2 linked regions of the Saccharomyces cerevisiae S288C genome follow. The gene in region 2 interacts genetically with the main gene of each other region. Each region holds a gene or a part of one and is shown on either strand. Other genes may lie near its edges.

Region 1 (3,756 bases), on a different chromosome or scaffold from region 2:
ACTTCAGCTTCCTCTAACTTCGATGACAGCTTCTCATAACCTATGTCACCATCTAACACCGTATATGATAATATACTGGTAGTATGACTACTAGTTGATAGACGATAGTTGAATTTTTATTCCAAAACTAATATAATAGCCTTTACCAACAATGGAAGCCCAACAATTATCAAATTATTCACTAAATTCTACTATGAATATTAAAAAAAGCTTTTGAAGTACATCTTTATTAAAAAATTCTGATCATTACGTATACATAAAAAAAAAAGGAAAGTTCTTCTCAAAAATAATATACTGCTGACAAGAGCACCAGATCGGTAGACTATAATTGATTCTCACTCCAACACACATAATTATATTAGTAAATAATGCCATTGTTTGCAGTGGTTAGCCGTGATTAGTAGATAGTGGTTTCCTTATTCTAACATGTGTATATTTTTATGCAAAATTCATAGTAGAGTAGACCTTAAAAATATTATTCATATAGACTATTGACCTCTACGTTCGAACGGCGTTTGATTCAATTCAAAAATAATTACCGCAATTGTGGGTTGCATTATTTGAGTCTGCAAATGTAAGATGTCCATCTTGGAAACTCCATACAGTGCCTTCAATATCTGACGATTTTCCCCTGGGGAAAAGCTCCTTCAATTTAGAAACGTCGGTTTCAACCGTTTTGAAGGAATAATTCTCATTGGTTGTCTGGTATCTGTACCTTAACAGTATCGTTAGTGGGATAACAAAATCGTCTAATGAAGATTTCAATAACGGCATCATGTACGCTTTGGATGAAAATGGCACCTTCTTCTCAAATATCCGTTGGTTTTTTAAAGTAGACCCATGTATTTTCCTTTTAAACGACATCTTTATAAGATCCCTCTTCTTTGTAATATCGGTTGAGGATAAAATGTCCAACTCTTTTAGTTGCGAATTGGGTACTATATTTAACAGTTTTTTGATCGATTCTTGGAGCATCCCAATGGCAATTCCGCACTCATCATTGTTGTATTGGTTGATTGATAGGAAGAGATAGGTCAAACTCTGTAAATAATTCATAAATAATGCGTCCACTATACGGCCTCCTTGGCATTGCGAAGCAGTGCTATAAGATCCAATACAAAGCTTAGCGTAAAAGACACTGGACTTGCCTAGCTCTTCCAATTCTTGAGGCTCAAGGTCCGCAACAGCATCCTTGCTGATTTTTGATCTTAGTTTAGACAGTGCTAAAACGACAATCCCTAGTTGTTGCAGCAATTGAAACTCTAATGATAGCTGATTAAGGACGTTGAGAACCTGCATCTTTTGGCAATCATTAGCTGTGTTTATTTGAAAATTCTTTCCAAGAAAGCAGATTAAGCCTAGACCTCTCTTTAGATAGGTCCCGCTTGTTGTCCATAAGTTATTTGACGCTTGTGAAGATTCATAAGCTCTGTACAATGTTTCAATACCGATGTCTTGATAAAATACGGCAACATTGATTAACGCAATCGCTATCTCCTCTTCAATGAGAGCGGCGTCATTATTAGCTTCGTACCTGTGGGTTAACAAACCCTCTGTGTATTTTAGCCACGTATCTATACATGTAATGCTGTCAGCTTTGGACGAGGAACTGTTCAGTGAATTTATGCAATTATTTCGCAGTATGATTAAATCATTAGGTATGGAAGTTGTTATTTTGCTGCTGCCAGATAATTTATAGGGAAGTTTCTTTGTAGACATTGCATTCTCACGCATGATTTATTTTGTTAGAGCTACTTTTCACTTTAAAGTTCAACCTTTGAATAACCAGTTCTCGATTATACGTTTTTTCTTACAGCCGGTTTACGTCAGCGCAGGAAAATTGAAAACTATACTATTCAATACATAGAACGTAACACAATGGCGTCCCCTCAAAAGTGTACACTTCTTCAAGATGTTACTGCGGCTACATGCAACACCCCTAGAGCTATTTGTAAGGGAAGACAAGATCTCAAGTGTTACCACAGCCCGTAATTGAGTTCGGCACTATTCGAGCGCACAAAAAATCCCGTACTGTTTTTTTTCAGATAAGAAAGACTGAGCCTATATAAACACTACCTGAACCATTTTTAAGATAAAAGTTATATACGATAGAGTTATCCCCTCTTAATAATTGATCAAGAACCTCTGAAGCACAAAAGGGAGCATAAGAGCACTTAGGGACAAACGTATTTCTTTCCCCCACTCCCCTTTTTCCCTTTGCGATGCACATCCATAACTTGTACTTGTGTCTTGACATTCTTCAAAATCAACATGGCGATGCTCTTCTACGGTTGTCCTTTGCCACGAACTTTGTTTTGCGCCTCCCCTCCCTTTGTCAGGCTGAGTGCAAAAGAAAAGGCCCTGGTTGCTTATCTCTGCGGACACGCGCCCCTCTTATTGGATGAGACATCTCAGAGATTGCGATAACGATAAGATTCACAATTGCTACAGACACCCTTGTGTGACATCTTATGGCTATGTAAGCACAGAAGAGAAGAAGAAAGAAATGACAAAGTATTGATGGAAGATGTTTTTCCTGAAAAAAAAAAAAAAAAAAAATCGGAAAAGTGGTGTAGGCTTCTATAGCACCTTCTGCTTACCAGTCGATAATGCAGTTCCAGAATAAGATACTTAAAAGGTAGTTTATTTATATAGGCGCTCTTGTAACTTGTTTAGGCTTATGATCAGAGAATTATTTTAGTAAACATAACTGCAGTACGGATTCTTATACTGTAGAAACTATGGAGAGTCGAACTACAGGGCCTTTAACGACTGAAACCTACGATGGCCCCACTGTGGCCTTCATGATATTAGGTGCCGCCCTAGTATTTTTTATGGTGCCCGGATTGGGATTCTTGTACTCCGGATTGGCAAGAAGGAAGTCTGCACTAGCACTAATCTGGGTTGTATTAATGGCGACTTTGGTCGGTATACTGCAATGGTATTTCTGGGGTTACTCTCTAGCTTTTTCAAAGTCCGCTCCGAATAATAAATTCATTGGGAATCTAGATTCGTTTGGCTTTAGAAACGTGTACGGAAAAAAATTCGATGAAGATGCCTACCCTGAGCTCGCGTATGCAACCTTCCAAATGATGTTTTCGTGCGTCAACTTAAGTATTATCGCTGGCGCCACTGCCGAAAGAGGCAGGCTGCTACCGCACATGGTTTTTCTCTTTATTCTAGCTACCATTGGATATTGTCCAGTGACGTATTGGATTTGGTCACCAGGTGGTTGGGCATACCAATGGGGAGTCCTCGATTGGGCAGGCGGCGGCAACATTGAAATATTAAGCGCTGTTTCCGGGTTTGTTTACTCTTGGTTTTTGGGCAAAAGAAATGAAAAGTTACTGATAAATTTCAGGCCTCATAATGTTTCATTGGTCACTCTAGGCACATCCATACTGTGGTTTGGCTGGCTGCTATTTAATTCTGCATCCTCATTATCCCCAAATTTGAGGTCAGTTTATGCATTCATGAATACATGTCTCAGTGCCATTACTGGTGGGATGACGTGGTGTCTTCTGGATTACAGATCGGAGAAGAAATGGTCGACAGTTGGTCTGTGCTCCGGTATCATTTCTGGGCTGGTGGCTGCAACGCCAAGCTCAGGCTGTATAACCCTTTACGGTTCACTTATTCAAGGCATTGTGGCGGGGGTAGTGTGTAACTTTGCGACGAAGTTGAAATACTACGCTAAAGTAGATGATGCCATGGACATTCTAGCTGAGCACGGGGTTGCAGGCGTAATAGGACTAA
Region 2 (3,385 bases):
GTAGAGTATCCTCCAAGAGCGTATATACGATCATGTAATATAAAAAAGCTGTTTCATTCAATCGGAGAAACCCCTTTGACAACCGGTTTGCATCTTCTTTAGGGGCCTGCATGGTTATATCCTGGCATGCGTCCACATAACTAGACCATATTTCTGCGCATTCTTGGAGCAAAGGCAGACACTCTTGTGGCACGTCGTCATCATCAAGAAACTTCTGAACTAAATGCCTAAGCCTGCCGAACCGCTCTTTAGCAGATTCGACAACCTCACTTAAGGCTTGTTCTGAGCCCATTACGCTTGTGCCTATTTGTGTAGAGAGATAATAAAGAAAGGACTCCACATACGTTGGAGAATACCTAGCAACTAAATATAGCTGGTGTTTACTTGATGTGTTGAAGTGAGGCGCAAGGAAAAAAGAAAAAAAATCAATGCCCGGTAGATCAATTGGACCAGGGGTTCTTGTTTTGCGACGCCGTACAGACAAGGCCAACTTTATAAAAACGATATTAGAAATTATTGTATATATGTATATAAATGTAGTATTTTTATCAACAGAAAATAGGTGGAAAACTCCCACCCTGTGCTAGACTTCATTCAAAGAGAGTCGGCTTTAACGTGGAGGACTTCCTTGTCTGTGGCGACGTTTTGAGACGAGGAATGACTGGTAGTTTGCTCGGGAAGTTCGTAGTTCTCTTGCACATTGATCTCACCATCTTCATTGAAGTTGATGTTCTCCATCTTGGCAAACAGTTGTCTCTTTTGCTCTTCCGTCAACTCCTGCTTTTTCTTGTTCTTGATCCAGTATCCTGGGTTCAAGTGTTTCAATTGTAAGTTTTTGGTGAAAGGCAAGTGACCACGCCTTTCTTCGAATATCATTAAACTCAACACAATGATAAGAACCAACCAATAGATGTTGTAACAAAGCATGGATGACAAGTAGCCGGTGTTCTGCCATCCAAGCAAAGCATTGAAGATATCCCACCCATTGTCCAGTTCTGGGTTGCAACAATTGACATGGTAAACGGCCTTTCTGATGTTATAAGACCCATTACCATCACCGCCTTCGGAAGCATCACCACCACTGGCAAGGTTGAATCTGTAATTTTCAAAGTACCACGCACCACGAGAGAAAAGACCGGCGGAGATCAGGTACAAGATCGAAGTAGACAAAATCAAGAAAATCTGCAGCGAGGATTTCGAAGCACCATAGTACAACAAATACCCAACAAGACCACCACATATCAAACCAACCACAACGGGCAATGGGTAAGCAGAGGCGTGCGAGCCCTGTGTGGTAATACCTGCACCGGCAACGAACACAACAGCTTCCAAACCTTCTCTCAAGACAGTAATAAACGGCAAAAGGAACATAGCATATCTTCTACTCAAGAACCCAATCTTGAAATAGTCTCTCTTACGGTGAGGAATCTCCACCAACGACCGCGCAATCTTCACTCTCCACTTACTCTGCATCTTATTCATTCTCAACATAGGAATACCCATCATCGAGATCATTATCGTCGCAATCATACAAAAGATACCTTCCCACAAGTCTTCCGCGCTTCCGAAAATATCCTTCTGCAGCGAATAGTACGCACCGATGAAACCTGCACCGATGGCCAGACAAATGATGAACCCGAGTAACACACCGACCCAAACCTGAATCCTTAATTTACGGTACAGCGCCCGGTCATGTTCCCCGATTGCCTGTTTCAAAAACGATAGCAGCACGGAAATAACAATCACTGCTTCCAAGCACTCTCTGAACACAACGAAGAAAACGGCCACGTTAAACACTTTGTTAGGCATGGCGGGAAGTATATGTGTGATGACCTGCTGAGAGAAGATTTCGACAACGTACAATCCGTCGTGTTATGTATTTTTTTGCTCACATTGAGCATTTTATATAACTAAAAGCTCAAGGTCGAACTACAGCCCATCGCTTCCACCGGGCCTTGCAACACCAACTTAGAAATCGGGTGCATTCATCTACGCTGTGCAGAGAATGAAATGCGCACCTTCTTACTGCTGCGACGGTGCTCGGCACGGCTTACGCGGGCGGGGGAAGGAAATAGCGGCCTGGCGTGAGTCGGCAGTCAGCGGCGGGCTCACTGTACTCGCTCGTTTAATGCACCAGCAGTATTCGCGCACTTAATAATAGTATTTCTGCACCCTGGCCTGGAAAGAATGCTCGATGCGCCCTGGTTGATTGGCGCAGAGCGTGTGTCAGTGCCGGACCCGATTTCTTTTTTTCTACACGTTGGTCTGATGTCTCAGGAGTTAGTAGTGACCGTGGTCAAGAAAAAAACAGGACGAAAAATTGTTGAGAACGTATACGTATATTGTATTCTTCTTTTTTTTCTTTGCTGCCCTTTTATTATCTATTTCATTTTTTAACCAGAGGCAATCGTAAGAGAGAGATAATATAGCCCTTTTTGGTCTTTTTTGGCACCTTCAGCCGGACCCTGCTCTTTTATTACCCGGATGCTCGGGTTTTGTCTTTGCATCCGGGTAGCAAAACAGAATACTTGCTTTCTTATTGAAGTAGAAAAAATACAGAGAAAGCGAAAAAGGCTTCCTTGGCGGATAGATGGTCTCACAACAAGCATAGCGTATACACGTGCACTCACAAGCATACACAGAAGCGCGCAAAATGAGTCTACCGGAGATTTTGCCTTTGGAAGTCATAGATAAAACAATTAACCAGAAAGTGTTGATTGTGCTGCAGTCGAACCGCGAGTTCGAGGGCACGTTAGTTGGTTTCGACGACTTCGTCAACGTTATACTGGAAGACGCTGTCGAGTGGCTTATCGATCCTGAGGACGAGAGCAGAAATGAGAAAGTTATGCAGCACCATGGCAGAATGCTTTTAAGCGGCAACAATATTGCCATCCTTGTGCCAGGCGGCAAAAAGACCCCTACGGAGGCGTTGTAAAAAGGCAAAAATTAACGCGAATTTGTATAGTGCATCTAAAAAAAATAATTAAGTATAAAAATAGATAAAGGAAATCAAGTGTTTCTTTTTTTTTTTTTGGTTTATTGTTTGACACTGGTGATTTGCTTAACCAGCGCCTCCAGCTTCGCGTTCGTGAGAGCGACGTCTTTTCCCCGCATCGCCACCGTACAATTCATTAAATGCCATATTCCGATCACGTATTGGACCTTGCGCATGCCGCCCTGCTGGCGGCACATATCGAAACACTTTGCTGAAATCGCATAGATCTCGCCCAGATCGTGTTCGAGCATTCGACCGCCTAAGTAGTTTACCAGTATTTGCAGCAACAGAGCCTTCTTCAATTTGAAGCGGTTGTCCGCAACGGCTTCTCCGGCAACGAACTTGTTGCTAGAGTAGAACTCGCGGAGCTTCGACACGTACTCGGCGCGC

Evidence for each region.
Region 1: mutations in FTR1 (region 2) and YGR122W together harm fitness more than expected from each alone (negative genetic interaction), as found in Saccharomyces cerevisiae (2 studies listed by BioGRID).

The regions. Positions count from the first base shown.
Region 1 is NC_001139.9:731,913-735,668, reverse strand, and holds YGR122W (uncharacterized protein), read right to left. Parts: upstream 1,735-3,756; coding exon 526-1,734; downstream 1-525. Other genes in the region: YGR121W-A (uncharacterized protein), read right to left, coding at 2,042-2,257; ammonium permease MEP1, read left to right, coding at 2,742-3,756.
Region 2 is NC_001137.3:459,932-463,316, forward strand, and holds FTR1 (high-affinity iron permease FTR1), read right to left. Parts: upstream 1,810-3,385; coding exon 595-1,809; downstream 1-594. Other genes in the region: putative ubiquitin-specific protease UBP5, read right to left, coding at 1-292; YER145C-A (uncharacterized protein), read right to left, coding at 2,455-2,892; RNA-binding protein LSM5, read left to right, coding at 2,654-2,935; cohesin-loading factor complex subunit SCC4, read right to left, coding at 3,037-3,385. UniProt on the Saccharomyces cerevisiae protein: Permease for high affinity iron uptake.